Linked DNA regions of Alligator mississippiensis. The protein of the gene in region 2 purifies or fractionates together with the protein of the main gene of each other region. This does not show direct contact. Links are inferred from orthologs where the notes say so. Each region holds a gene or a part of one and is shown on either strand. Other genes may lie near its edges.

What was found.
Region 1: the proteins of GPC1 (region 2) and HADHB purify together in Homo sapiens (co-immunoprecipitation; 3 studies listed by BioGRID and IntAct, counting the BioPlex papers as one, with this or other methods). This does not show direct contact. The link is inferred for Alligator mississippiensis from reciprocal best matches to the Homo sapiens genes GPC1 and HADHB.

Annotation. Positions count from the first base shown.
Region 1 is NC_081824.1:1,490,495-1,498,153, reverse strand, and holds the start of HADHB (trifunctional enzyme subunit beta, mitochondrial), read right to left. Parts: upstream 3,103-7,659; 5' UTR 3,095-3,102; coding exon 3,004-3,094; intron 1,672-3,003; coding exon 1,597-1,671; intron 1,029-1,596; coding exon 987-1,028; intron 1-986. Other genes in the region: HADHA (trifunctional enzyme subunit alpha, mitochondrial), read left to right, coding at 3,296-3,389. UniProt on the Homo sapiens protein: Mitochondrial trifunctional enzyme catalyzes the last three of the four reactions of the mitochondrial beta-oxidation pathway.
Region 2 is NC_081830.1:42,556,815-42,564,521, reverse strand, and holds the start of GPC1 (glypican-1), read left to right. Parts: upstream 1-4,487; 5' UTR 4,488-4,669; coding exon 4,670-4,826; intron 4,827-7,707. UniProt on the Homo sapiens protein: Cell surface proteoglycan that bears heparan sulfate. Binds, via the heparan sulfate side chains, alpha-4 (V) collagen and participates in Schwann cell myelination.

The DNA.
Region 1 (7,659 bases), on a different chromosome or scaffold from region 2:
GGACAGTACAAAGGGATCGTATTTAGAAGCCACCAGAGAAGGGGCATGGTACATGAAAGCAGCTTAGCTCTAGCTCTAGCTGGGGTTGCAGCAAGCAAAGGTTCATGTAAGAGAACGGTGTAGTGCACTTGTATTATGAAAGGGGGTTAATTTGAGGAGAGCAAGGGCAGGCAGGAGCCACTTCCCAGCTCAGAGCCTCTGGGCTCTAAAATTCAGAGGTCTTTAGACACTGAAAAAACCCCCTCAGGGTTAAAGCAATTGTTTCAGTGAAATAACATGCAACACTATCCTCAGTAAACATTTTGAGGGCTTAATTACACAGACCTACACTGAAGCCTGAGCATCCTTTTCAGAGCAGATCAGACTTCATACCTAATGCCACAAGCCTGTCCTTGCCAGAGGCAAGCTCTTGGGAGACAGGAAGCCCAGGCATAAGTACGGAGCCTAGGCCCTTCCAGCTCATCCTCTTTGTCCAAATGTCCCACTGGAGCCGCACGGTCCACGCTCTAGCCCAAGTCCCTCTTCCAAGCTGTGACTAGAGCCTTCTCTACCCCTACGGCGTCTCCGCAACTGTTACTAAGAGCTGAAGGGAAGTCCTTATCTCACCCAGGGCTTTCTATATAGGCCCTGCCAGTCACCTATGCCTATGTCAGAGCCAACAAACCGGATTTGTTCCCTACTTAAAAAAGGAAGAGACAAGAGATACTTAAACTGTCATCTACCCAAACAATAATCAAACCGGTTTCACTTTCAGGATCCTGACGTTGAGTTGAAAGGACTTAGGGAAAAATCAGTTCCAAAAACATGGGTTTTTGTTTGCCTAATTAACAATGTATGTTGATGTTCATTAGTTTTAAAAAGACAGGGACAGAGGGAAAACCTCTGCTGTGTTTATCTACATGGGAAGCACCTGGGGAAGGGGAGGTAGTTTGTAAATGCATTCTTCTCAAAGAGACCCACTGAAGTTTTTGGTGCTTTCACCTTACCTGCTGCTTGTAACTGGGGGGAGCAGCTGAGTGATCTTGCAGCTGAAATAAAGAGAAAACGTATAAAATTTTCCAGTCTTCAGGCAAAACAATTACTGGAAGTTACCTGCACTCTTTAACAACTGCTGGGTCTTTTCTTACTTCCGTTTCAAGTAACCAAAAGCAGCTGCAGGTAAGCATTCGGCAAAAAGGTGGGTTTTTTCAGTTGACTGCACGTTCAACAGCATGTTACGTATAACCAACACACGTGCTATTTTCACAGCAAGAAGGTAAGAAAACTGCATGTTAAAAGCAGAAAGAACCAGAACTCGTGGTAAAGGTGATATCTTTTACTAGACTAACTAGAGGTTTGCAAAAAAAATTCTTTATTTGCAAGCTTTCAGACACAAGCACACTTCTTCAAGCCTAGGAGAAAAGATTGTAAAAGTTCTCCTAGGCAGAAATGAATATAAAAGCAGCATTTTTTTTTTCCTAATCACTCGTTAGCATGAGACTTGGATGCAGGGATCGTTCCCGAGTCCACCTGAAACCCACTTCTTCAGAATAACTAGATGTTTGCATCTCTTTGGGTTGCATCTATTCGATTGGTAATAAACAGAAAGATGCTTACAGAGTCCAACAGCCCACGGTGAGGCAGAAGGGAGGCTTCGGATCGCACGGGTCAGCATGGAAGTCATTTTGATATCTACAACCAATGGTAAGGGGAGAGAGAAAAAAAAAAGATGAAAGTCGGCCTTGGCTGGTTTGCTCGGGGAGATTTCGGGGCGGGCAATCTGCTCGGGCCACGCAGCCGGCGAAAAAGGAGACGCGAGAACCCACGTCAAGGTCACGCTGGTGCGCTAGGGCCGGGCCCGTCTTTCCGGTGCGTTTCTGAGCAGCCCCGTGCGCAGCGCGGACTACGGACGTGTAAGTAAACCTGCCTTCCCCACACCCAGCCAAGGCATTTTAGCGACCCCTTTTACTGCTCCGCCCAACTAGATCTGCTTCCCGCTCCCAGCCCTGTTCCCCTGCCCCATCGGCTGCTCTGCTTTCCGCTCCCCACCCTGCGCTCTCGGTCCAATCCAATACTCTGCTTTCCGCTCCCCGCCCTGCGCTCTCGGTCCAATCCAATACTCTGCTTTCCGCTCCCCGCCCTGCGCTCTCGGTCCAATCCAATACTCTGCTTTCCGCTCCCCACCCTGTGCTCTAGGTCCAATCCACTACTCTGCTTTCCACTCCCCGCCCTGTGCTCTCGGTCCAATCCACTACTCTGCTTTCTGCTCCCCGCCCTGCGCTCTCGGTCCAATCCACTACTCTGCTTTCCGCTCCCCGCCCTGTGCTCTCGGTCCAATCCACTACTCTGCTTTCCGCTCCCCGCCCTGTGCTCTCAGTCCAATCCACTACTCTGCTTTCCGCTCCCCGCCCTGTGCTCTCGGTCCAATCCACTACTCTGCTTTCTGCTCCCCGCCCTGCGCTCTCGGTCCAATCCACTACTCTGCTTTCCGCTCCCCGCCCTGTGCTCTCGGTCCAATCCACTACTCTGCTTTCCGCTCCCCGCCCTGTGCTCTCGGTCCAATCCACTACTCTGCTTTCTGCTCCCCGCCCTGTGCTCTCGGTCCAATCCACTACTCTGCTTTCTGCTCCCAGCCCCGCGCTCCTGCCCCATCGGCTGCTCTGCTTTCCGCTCCCCACCATGTGCTCTCAGTCCAATTCACTACTCTGCTTTCCGCTCCCAGCCCCGCGCTCCTGCCCCATCGGCTGCTCTGCTTTCCACTCCCCACCATGTGCTCTCAGTCCAATCCACTACTCTGCTTTCCGCTCCCAGCCCTGTGCTCCTGCCCCATCGGCTGCTCTGCTCTCCGCTACCTGCCCACTCCCCTGCTCCGCTTTCCGCTCCCTGCCCCCTCGCACCCCCATTCCGCCCGTGTCACTTGTGCCCCCCCCAACATAACAGCCCTCCCCGCCTGACGCCCCCAGGCCCCTCGGGGTCGCCATGGAGACGGGGGCGCCCCACGTCACGTCACGCGCCCGCACCCACCTCCTGCCCCAGCGCCGTCTCCCCGCGCCCGCAAGCCCCGCCCCTGCCCCCGGCCCCCCGCCAGGGAGGACCCCGCGCCACCAGCCCTCATAGCTGCCCCTTGCGCTGCCTGATGCCAGCCGCCGCCTCCTCCGCCCGGCGGGCACGGGCCAGTTGCGGGGGAGGGGCTCGCGGGGGCTTTCGAGGGCGGCGGCGGCGAATCAGGCACCGCCAGGGCAGCCCGGGGGCGCGACGGCGTCGAGAAAGGCCCCCGCGAGGGGCAGGGTGGCCGCGTCTGACCTCCCTGCGCAAGATGGCGGCGGCGGTGCGCGCCATGGGCAGCCTCGCGCGGATCCCGGCCGCCGCCCGCCCCGGCCTCTGCCCCCGCGCCCTGCGCCTCCTCCGCGGTGAGCGCCGGCTCATCAGGATTTGTGACTAATTTGTGCGATTAACGATTAAGATGATTAATTCCCGTGATGGATGAGGCTCCGGGGGTTGATGGAGAGGGGGAGGGCAGCGCCCATGACTGAGTAGGATTCGGGGGGGCAGCGCCCGTGATCAGCGCTTGATTTCTGTGATTCGCGGGCTGAAGGTGAACCCCACTCGTAATCGCAGGGATTCGCTTTTCGAGTCGCGGTCGCGCCCTGCGTTGCGTTATGATTTGCGGCTAATCGCTGCGTTTCGACGATGATTTGCGATTAATTTCCTGCGGCGGTCCGGTGCGGGCGCAGCGATGCTCGTGCTGTGCTGTGGGGGGCACCCCCCCCCCCGCTTTCCTTCCCCTCCCCCCTCCCCCGCTCCCTCCATGTGTTGCGGGGGTTGAAGCCTCCCCCAGAGCGTCCCCTTCCCGGTTCAGGTGCGTGGGGCTCGTTGGGGTCAGCGTCTCACACTGCCCCCCCCCCCCCAGATATCAATAGACCCACTCCCTCCTTTTCCAAAGGAGTTTTTCACCTTGGGGAGGGGGACAGGAACGAGGGGGAGGCGTTTCCTTGGGGCTGAACGACGAGCAAATTCCTGCTTCTTGACTTCGTAGCGCGGGAAGGCAACTTCGGCGACCAGCACGTGAGTGTGTCTGCAGAGAAGCGTCAGGTCCGTGGCAGCCAGAGCTCTCTGTGGGCGTCTCTCCAGTCAAACAGAAGAGCAAAGCTTATGATGCTTAAATCGAATGGCTTAATCTCAGGGTCAAAACGAACTACATTCGGTATATTCGCTTGCCGCTGATGAGAGATCACCGGTTTCCTTGGGCTTTTTAACCTGGGGGCTGCGTCTTTACAGTGGGACGTGTTGCTTTGTCTCGTGCTGGTTGTTCCAGTTCTTGGTGTCTGTTTGCGTCGGTGCCAGAGGCCGGTCAGCGCTCATCCTTGGCTGGTCGCGGGATGCGATCGTTGGAGGGAGGTTTTTTACTCCCGGTACGTGAAAAGTTGTGTCGTACAAAGGGACCTGGGTTTTGAAACAGCGTTACAGCTCTAAATCAATCTAAATGTCTGTGACCATGCAAACTATGGCAAGGAGCGCTAAAAAATAATGTGATGGGTGAATTGGCAGAAGCCGTATTGTATACTTGCATTTTTATTTTTTGCTTGTAGAGTCCTTGTTCTGATTGTTAATGCTGCCCCTTAAAATATGTAATGTTTCACCTTTACTTTCCCCCCACCACCACGATCATAGGAAAGTAGGGCTAGTAGAGACCTCGCAAGGTCATCTCGTCCACCTCCCAACTCAAGGCTGGGCTATCCCTGACCAAACCATCCCAGCCAAGTGCCTGTCCAACTTGCTTTTAAATATTTCCAGGGATGGAGACACCACAGTTTCCCCAAGTAACCTGTTCCAGTGCTTGACCACTCTCGGTCAAAAACGTTCCTCCAAATCTCCAACCTAAATTTCCTCTGCTGCAGCTTGAGGCCATTGCTCCTAGTCCATAAGGGGGATGGAAGTTTTGTCTGGAAATTGTTCTTTGTTCTTCAGATGTTTCCCCCCCCCCCACCCCCCCGTCAGTCTTTGCCCAATAAAAGGTTCAAGATTTGTAAGGGTAGGCAAAACACCAAAAAGAGCCGCTGATGTGATGAAAGCCGCGTGGACTTTGGATCCATCCTCTCACACCCCAGTTGCAAACAGACGGTTCCTTGACGGTCCTGTATCTCGCATCTCTTGGTGTTTCAAGTGCAGCTGTGTGTGTAAGCAGCCCCCAGGAGCAGGGCTGCAAGTTTAGACAACAGCCCGCCATGCTAAGCATCAGTTTTCGTACTCCCTTCATACTCAGAGTAGCTCCAGAACTTCAAGTGGGATCCTGTGACCCCAGGTGACTTCCTGCCCTGGGGGCAGGGGACTGCACACAAAGATCTTCCGAGGTCCCTTCTAGCCCTAATGTCTATGAAATGGTCTTGTCCTGTAGAGCCACGGAGAGAGGCTGTTTCCACCTCAAGCAGCATGAAGTCCATGCGACTTAGGAGGCCTGAGTGGGGAAGTGTGGAAAGAGAGACAGTGCAAAGCAAATAAAATAGGGCAGAAAATTTAAAAATGAAACAAAATGACAGACCATTCTATTAGGGTAAATGGGATGTTGCTCATTCTGTAGTTTATTACAGGTGGTGCCTCACCAAATAGGCACAATCCTACTTTGAAATGAGTGTGTGGACTCAGCGCTGTCCGAACTCTGATTTGTGCCCTCTAATTAGTAATTTACAAGATGGGTAGCAAGTTTTCCCTCCCTAGTTCCTGTGTGCCTCAGTCTCCCCGTCAATGGGACCTTTTATGTTCAGAACCAAGTAACAGCCTGAGATCTGCATCTGTCTCTGCTTTGTGCCATTTCTGATAGGTTTTTCTGTGCCATCAAAATTTTAGTTAACTGTACTGAGAAACTCCTGCCCCAAGAGCTTGCAATCTGTTTAAATAGCCAGCGTACAGAGGAATTGGCTGTGGTGACATGTATGGTGTCTTGTTCCAGATTTTTGGCTTTGTACCTTCTTACTGAAACTTGAAGGGAAAGTGAGAATGGGAAGCATGCGTCTTTTAAGAAAAGCTTATAAGGGGCAGCGGCAAATGTCTATTAGACCGTTGAAATGGCAGAAGATTGGTTCATCTCTTCAGTTATTTATCTACTTTTCAATCGAGTCTTTTTTCTTTTGAAATGTAGCTACATCTTAGAAATGTAGCTGTATTTGGTGAAGTCTGGAACGCTGCCGTATGTCATCGTGCAGACGTTTCATACTCCATATAACAGTGCACCTGTTTATGGCTCCTGTTATATTGCTGCCCTTCCTGTACTAAGGTTGACCTTAACACAGGCCCTCATATGAGGGTAGGAGGGGAATTGCTACCTGTTGTCCTTTGGTCAGCAGGAGTCAATATTTTTCCTTGCCCATCTCTTGTTGTGCCTACAATGGGGCACTCTGTGGGCCCAAGTGAGGATATGCTACAAGGCAGCTCACAGCTGCCCTTCTCTTAGGTATACACTGCCAAAGTGACACAAATCGGGGCTGCATTTTTAGCTGAATGGCAAATGGATCCCTTCGTTCTCACACCTGCTCTCTAAGTTGGCTGCGTCTGGGGTGATGCTAGTCATGTGAATGCTTTGCTTTTTGGAGATGAGGTGATTTCTAGGTGATAAGTCTGTGAGCTTCTCTTAGAAGCTTAAGGATATCAAAGGTTGCACAGAGCGCTTACGATCTAGACCTCCTTCTTGGCCAAAAATCTTCTGAAAGAGCAGTCTGAAGGTGTGAACTGGTTGCTAAGTGTCTTTATCAAATGGTGCTGGGAGCACATCACTCCCACCCTTTCAGGAAGGAGGCTGCCAAATCTAAATGTGGCACACACTTTCCATCCCCGCAAAGCAGTTTCTCCTCCATGCATCCTGCGCACGCTGGAATGTGGGGCAGAGTTCACGTCCTCTCCCGTTGCAGGAGACACAGCAGAATGTAGGCCAAAGTGCACTCATCGCTTTCAGCGATGAGCCAAGATCACGTGGCTGGGGGTGGAGGAAGAGCCCAGCTGCAAAGCAAAGTGCAGGATACGTGTTCTGCTTATCTGAGCATGTAGGCTGATTGCTGATGCCTCATTGATTGCTGCTCCCTCTTCTGGGAAATCACTTGCCTCTGGAAAAGCCACAGCCCAAAGGATCTTGCTCATGCTCAATATATAAGCTTCTGTAGTAGCTGTGAGTGCAGGAGTTTATGCTTCCCATCCAGTGCATTTGCAGCATGCTAGTTGGGGAGCAGCATTTTTATTAGTGTTGAGGTCTGTGGCTCTCAGGCCCAGGAGAAGCATGTGTCGGCTGCAGTGGCTACTGGTAGTCCTGACCTGCTCTTGAGAGAGCTTCTTGGTGAAAGCTGAACAGAAGCAGGTGGGATTTCAGCAGCGATGGATGTTGTGGGTAGATGCTAAAAGGAAACAGCCTCTCTCCGTGGCTCTACAGGAGGAATGGCTCTACAGGAGCAGCCATTTAGGCTGTTTCCACCTCAAGCAGCATGAAGTCTATGCGACTTAGGAGGTCTGAGTGGGGAAGTCGTGGTGGATGGGTCGGTTTCGACCTGGAAGGGTGTGGGCAGTGGGCTCCCGCAGGGCTCAGTCCTTGGACCGATACTCTTCAATGCCTTCATCAGCGACTTGGACGAGGGAGTGAAGTGTACTCTGTCCAAGTTTGCAGATGACACAAAGCTATGGGGAGAAGTGGACATGCCG
Region 2 (7,707 bases):
CTGAGTGCAGGCCAATTTTGGGAGGCTAAGGCTGAGTGCAGACATTAATTTCTACCAGAAGAAATTGCTTATGGTAGAAAAATACCCTGGGAGCTGGACTGTACAAATCTCCCTCAGGCCCGTTGGCTGGAGAACTTCACAGGCAAACTCTCCAGCAAAGGAGCAGTAGAGGGCTACTCCCTGGGCCACCCCTGCCCTTAGGGGAGCCCATTAATTGACAGCCTGCCCTCCCGCTTGCCTGAGAAGGAGACAGGCTATCAAGTGGAAGTTGACCTGCCACAGACAGTCCCAGGAGGGTCCAAGCTCTGAGAAAATGCCCTTCCCCCCCATCTTGCCAATCAGCTGATAGGTAGGAGGGGGACATTCTCCTAGTGCTTTGAGCCCTCCTGCTTCTCCTCTGCAAGAGAACAGCCCTGCTCCTTGCACTCCTTGGGCGCGTCCACACATGTAGTCACGTGCGCTCAAATAAAAGCAATGCAAATTTGAGCCAGGGCTTTTTGCCTCAGCACATGTACCGACATGCACTTGGGTGTGGTGAAAGTTGTGCCACGTGGGGCAATATAACCCTGCCTGGTTCCTCCCAGATCTGTGGCCAGGGGAAGCTAGAGCCTGGGGCCAACACTTGTGCTGGCCCCAGCAGTGTAAAAAGCTGCCCTGTCCTGGCCCCAGCAGTACAAAAAGCTGCCCTGGCAAGTAGCTCAGGAGTATGCTCTCTCAGGAACTTCTGGGGCCTGACCAATTTGTAGCTGGGGACACTACCCCTTGTGCCAGCTGGATTGCTAAAGCAGCCCTGAGAGTTCCCTGTGCCCTCTACCCACTGCAGCAGTCTGGCAGTGGGGGCTGCTGCCTGGCTGTGACCTGCTGCGCAACTGCCAGACCTGGATGGGGACTGCACAGCCAGTAGAGGCATCTGCCCCTCTGGGCCAGCTGCCAGTAGGCTGTGGCTGCAGAGTTGGCCTTTGTGTAGCATTACTGCCATGTGTGCCCCTGCCTGGCCATCTGGGCAGCTATCACACAGATGTTCCCAGTGTGGTGGCCTTTGAACTGTCAAAGCATGTCCTCCTGGCCCCAAATGGCCAGGAGGTGCACCACTTCCAGCTGGGTCTAAGGTGCCAGCTCAGAGCAGGCTCCTCTGCCTGGGTCCTGCCACTTGCCTCCCCAGCAGAAATTCTAGTGTTCCCTATTTGAAAACTGAAGAACCCCTGCTTAAAAAATCCCTAAGTCACTCTGTACAATACCCTGAAATCCATGTTCTTCCACAATTAAAACAAAAGACCACTATATAGAGAGAGAGCAGGAGGCAGAGAGACAAAGAAACAGTGATCAGTTGGGCAATGTTTTATTGATATATCTACAACGTCAAAGCAATTTGGAAGCCTACCAGTATCTCTATCATCATAATAAAATGAATTCTAAATACCTATGTTTTGCTGTTTGCCTTTGATTTTCTTACCATCAGTTTAAGAGAATCAGATAATGTTTTCAGAGGATCTGGGTGCCAGGAATATGTAACTTCTTTTTTCTTTTTCTTTTTCCTTTTCAGCTCTTTTTTGTTCTTATCTTGTGCCAGCTTATTTGGCCCTTCTGTATCACACCTGCCTCTGCTCAATGCTTGAATCAGCTTTTCAGGAGGCAGCACTTGCTGTCTGTAGCTGACAAGAGGTGATCTCCGTGGCAGAATGGATTTTCTGTCTTTTTCTTCTTGTTGGCTCTTTTCTGTGTTCTTTTTTTCCCCCGTCTTTCTTATGTATACTCACCTTACATTTCACTCTAGTCTTTCTTTTCTCTCCTGGCTCTTTCTCTGTGAGGTCCCCCTCCCTTTTCCCGCCATCCTTTCCCTGTAAAGAAATAGCTCTTTCAGTGACTGCGGATTTCTGGAATGTGTGGAGGAAGAGCTTTCCCCCTTTTTCATACTGACTCTGCTCCACCCTTTTAATTCAAAATGCTGAATGAATGAGTGTTCAGAAAGTGGATCTGAGCCTCAGAACTACAATGGGGAGAATCCAGATTGCCAGTATACTTTATAGCATAAAGTACATTTTTATCATGATGTGTTTCTTTATTTCAATTTGGGGAAGTATGCTTATACCAAGTTCTGATGCATATATACGCTTTATCAGTACAAACAGTACAGTCACGTTATTATTTATTTAAGATTTGTTTTCTGTGTTGTACAGCATGCAGACACAGATAGCTGCTTCCACAAAACTTATAATCAACTTGTAGTACTTCTGAATTTTCTGTCTGCTTATGTGGCCTTTGACATAGTTTCTGAGCACCTTACAGCCATGAATGAACATGTTCTCATAGCAGTAGGGCAAGATGAGAGTGCTGTTGCCCATTTAACAAAGAAGTAAATGAGGGACAGAGCATAAGGGACTTGGCAAACGTTACACAGGAAGCCTTTGGCAGAGCTGATAATAAACCAGTTCTTCCTCATACTGGTCTGGTATCATATGGTATCTGGTATCATATCTAGCCATCAAAGCATGAAGACTGGCTTGTGATATTCTGATCTTTCATGCAGGAAATTGCAGAGGTGAATCTGAATAAGTAGAGCACATACTTTTTAGGATTCTGTTAAGTGATACGATTTTGGCCCCTACTATAGACAGTGTTGTCATAGCACAATAGTTTTTAGAAATAAGAAGTACTTGAATATGACATACTTCCTCCCGTGCAGACCTGTGATCCATCACTCAACTACAAGCCTAGAGAATATGGATTTTAATCTAGCCTTTTAACTAATGCCGGTTAATCCTGCTGTGCACTTCACAACATTTACTATTAAGCAAGACTTCATGCTTCTACCTTATGCTTTAACCATCATTCAGAGAAAGCTTTGACCGTTCAGGCAGAGGTGGGAATAGACCTCAGGTAAGTACTACAATGCAGCCCAGTCCTAGCCATGTGCCACAGTTTTTAAAAGCATACCAAATTTGATCCTTCTGTAGTCCACAGTATTGTTTTGTACCATCCTGCAGTAAGTAGCTAGCCCACATATGGAGGCTTACATTTTTGGTTCTATTTCTGTATTCAGTGACTTGATTCTTTAGCTCAAGTGGCAGAGATTAATGCTTTTGCATCCAAAAGTCTGGAGTTCAGTCCCTTAACTAACCCAAATGGGAATGTTCATACTTTAGTTATCTCTTACCACTAAATCCTGGCTGCAATTCCTGCAAGGGCCAACACGTCTCTCAAATGCTTATAATCTGCTGTTTTGTTTCTTTGTGGTTTGGTGTGGTCACCAGAAAGAATATGGGCAGCTTTCTGGGGTTTTGTACCCCGTTAGTCTAACAGCTGCAGATTGTGCTGTAGATCTGAAGCCATCAGATTCAAAAGATAAAAGGAAAAAATATTTATATGAAATCTTGTGTAAGGACCCTTAACCAATTGTACTTAATTTATGTTCAGCAACATCATATTTGGATGTGAATCTATGTGCTAACATGTGTTGTTCCCACCTTTTTAGTGGGAACCGGAGCTTTTAAGAACAGGGTGCGGCAGCGTGTGCACCGCTGTCTGGAAGATGTCCTGTGTCTGCAGAGGACAAGCCCTGCTTCTGTATGAACTCCAGAAAGGTCAGAAATTACATTTAATCCTCAAAGATGGAACATGCAAGCCTTGGCTCCCAGCATCCTGCTGGATTTCCAGGTTTTAGTGAAGTTAGACAAAGAGCAGAAATATGTTGGACCAGGTCCTTTATGTTGGATGTTGACACCTTAAATGTGTTTTCCAGTCAAATTGGAGAAGACAGTTACACTCCTCAAGGCCCTGCCTAGAGCACAGGCAGATTTAGCATTTAACCCCTGACTACCATGCCCTCCCTACAGAATTGGCAAGCCTCTCCTGCCGCCTTTCTCCATCTGTCCGGTGAGGAGTCTGCTCTGAAGCCTGCGGGGCCAGATCTCCCCCGCTTTTGCATCCTCCTTCTCGCTGCGGGGCTCCAAGAGCTGCCAGGTCGGGGTGTCAATCCGGGCAGCTGGAGTAAGAAGTGGCTCCTCGTGCCCACGCGCCTGCCAGGGCCGCCTGCCGCCCGCACGAGCCTTGCCGGAAGGCAGCTGTCCTGGGAGCCTGCACCCTGGCTCCCTCGGCCTGCGCCAGGAGCTGCACCTCACCGGGCGGGGTCGGGTCGGGCTGAGGAAAGCGCCCGGCCGCCGGCGCGCCCGGAACAATAGCGGGGCCGGGGCTCCGGCCGCCGGGGGCTGAAGCCCGGCAGCAGCCGAGCGGGCGGGCGGGCGGGGGAGGAGCCGGGCCGGGGCCGGATTGGCAGCAGGCGGCGTGATGCCACGTCCGGCGGGGGAAGCCCTGCCTCGCGGCGAGCCGTGCAGGTGGCGCCGGGTGAGCCCCGCCGGCACACAGCGGCGGCCCCGCGGGATGCGCGCCCCGCCCCCGCGCTAGCGCCCGCCCCGCCCCGCCCCGCCCCGCGGCATCGGCTCCGGCCGCGCTGCCCCCGCCCCGCCCCGCCCCGCCCCGCCAGCCGGGCCCCGGGGCGGCGGGAGCAGGGATGCGCGGGGGAGGTGGAGCTGAGCGCCGCGTCGTGTGAGCGCGCCCAGCCCAGCCCAGCCCAGCCCAGCCCCAGCCGGGGGCAGCGGCGGCGGCAGCGGCGGCGGGACCTTGGGCTCGTCCTTCGCGCGGCGGGGCCGGGAGCGGGGCGCAGCGGCCGAGGATGCATCTCTTCCCGTGGGGATTGTGGCTGCTGTGCGTCGCGTCCTCCTCGGCTCGGGGCGACAGCGGCGGCAAAGCCAAGAGCTGCGCCGAGCTCCGGCAGCTCTATGGGAGCAAAGGGTTCAGCCTGAGCGGGGTCCCCCAGGCGGAGATCTCCGGTGAGTAGCGCCGAGCCGCGGCTTTGTCCTGGCTGGAGGAGACCCCCCCCCCCCAAACCCACAGGGTCTCGAGCAACCCCTCCCTCCCTCCCTCCCTCCCCTGACTCGGAGGCAGCGGTCCGCAGCCCCTGGGCCGGGGACCCGTCTGGGTGAGAGCCGCCTTATCCGCATCCACCGCTGCCCTGAAGTTGGGATCTGCTGGACGGGAACTTGGGCTGGTTTTCAGGTGCGGAGGAGAGAGGAAGGATGGAGGGTTAGGGACCACTCCTCCCCTCCCCCCCTCCTTAATTAAAAGTCCTACCTTCCATCTCTCCCCCGAGCTGGACCCCCAAAGTCACCTCGGCCATTGTCATGGTCCCGGGTAGCGGGTGTTTCTCTGGTGCCAACCGGGGTGTGTGACGGTTCACAGATATCAGGTGGCTGACTAGTGGGGGGGGGGATATAGCAGACCCTCTTTGTCTTGCTCCTCCAGTGGCAGCGATGTGGGGGATTCAGCTCAGACGGTCAGGATCAAGCAGGTTTCATGTCAACGCTAGAAAACGCCACAGGGTTATAAAGAGAACAGTACTGATTTTTCCTGTCCTCTTTTTGGATTGGAAACAAATGCATGAGCAGCACTTGTCAGCTGTGTAAAATGAAGCCGAAGTGAAATGACTCTTTGTCAGGTGTTCGAAAGGCAGCGGTAACCTCAGCCACCCACATCAGCATGTATTCCTGTTACCTGACTACTATCTATACAGAGGGCCAACACGATTTGATTTGATTTTTTTTTTTTTAAACAAATGCACAGTGTTTTTTGTTTCCCTTTCAGAAGGGATCTGAAATAGAAAAAGAGAGACTATAGAAAGGTCTCATGTAGGGTTTTACAAAGCCTGGGAAAAATCTGCTGAGATTTCACGCATGCCTCTTCTTTATTTCTTAAAAGTTTTTTTTTCTACGTTCTGATTCATCAGCTTGTGACCCATATCTAGGAGCTTTTTTGCTCACTTGTGGGAGCTTCCCAGTTTAGACAAAGCGTAAGGCATGCAGGCGTACGTGCCAAAGCCAACCTACGGGGACATCCCAGCAAAATTGTAGTTTGTAGTTCATTTCTGAGTGGTGGAATTTCTTATGCTGAATACTTTATAGCGTAGTTTTACAGCAAATGTCTTCATTATCTGCCCTGAAAATGGAGGAGGTTGATCTTCAGCTCAAGTAAATGGCATATAAATGTGAACAAATGATTATTTTCTTTATTAAGTAGGAACCAAAGGGAGATTTTCAAGTACAATAGGAAGGTCCTGTGGAGAATTTAAAAATCCTTTAAATGGGAGCTCCTTAAAAATGAATTCAGTTAAGCAAAAACATCACTTCTTTGTTCTTGATTATTCCGTGTATCTGTAAGCAATGGCTTAAACATGTCAAACAACTGTGAAGTTTTTTCAAGGGAGTTGAACACTTAAATATTGTCATGTGGAGGTGGATAAGGTGCCAAATGGAATGATAGTACCGTAGGATTCAATATCAGTTGTATTTTGTGATTGTGAGAAATGCATTGCATCAGATACAAATATCACATATCTCTGGGTCCAAGACATATAAAACTTATTGTGTCTAGAAAATGCTGAGTTTAGTAAAGATATAATGGAGGAGAGAGATGTTTAGGAGCTACATTTATTATCTCTTAAACGCTAGCACGCTTGCAGGCTCAAACAACAGTAGCTGAAATAATGTAGTGTCAAACTGCTTGTCTGTGACTATATGTTATGATTAATAGTGATGGTGATAAATATGGTCTTCTAATCAGATATATATTCTTATGAGAATTTATTTAATGAACTGTAGATAGGACCAGGGAAAAGAATCTATCCACACAAATATGCTGCTGCCAATACTCCCAGCTTTTGTACTGAAACATCAAAACGATGAACACAGTCATACATGCCTGAAACTGATAAGTATTTCGAAATTTCCATCTGTGTAGCTTTAATATCCATCCAGTTGAGATAAAACATCAATGTATTTTGCTACAAATATGCTTATGTATGGGAAATGTTATTTGACACATGGTAATATACTGTATTTGCTTCTGATTTGTTGACTATCACTGTGTATAAGATGTTTGGTCTATATTTAATAAAAATATGGTAGTAGTTGAGAAGAAACCACTTCATAGCATCCCCAAATGTACTGAGTATAATACCATTCTACACTTGTGAACAGCTCAGTTTGTTAAGCAACCCAATTTTGTTGGCACTTTGAATGGTCACTTAACACCACTTGTTCTGTATTTAGTTCATCTTGGTGACCAAGAGGGCCATAATCCATATGGCAGAACCTGCGTCAGATTAAGATTCCAGTCACGTCTAGAAATGTCTACACATCAACAAACAGCAGGAGCAGCATTAGTTAAGTAAAAAGAAAAATGCTGATTAAGATAGTTCAGTAACAAGCAGCCTAGTTCTACTTTGACCTGTGAGGTGATTTGAGGAAGCCGTTTCCTAGTGCTACCCATGCACATTGTTAGAAGGAGTGGAGAGCACCGGTTTTCCAGCCTTCCTTGTTCACTTTGTTTTCCCACTTCAGTTATCCTTTATTTCTTCCTTCCTATCCCACTTTCTCTCCCATTTTCCTCCCTCAGCAAAGTGAGAACTCACTTTATTAGCATCGTTCCCTGCCTCCAAGAATTTGATTACCAGCAGAGTACATTGCTGCTGCTGCTCTTAGGACCGACTCCAAGTTCTGCTAGGAGGGAAAAGCAATCGGTCTACTCTAGGGCTGTTGTTGAAAGGGCCACTCGCACCTACACTTTTTCATTTCACAAGAAGTTTTAGGTGTTCTAGTAATGCATGCTCCGACTCAGTGAATTAACTGCATTTATTTTGATTTTAGCACATTTCTA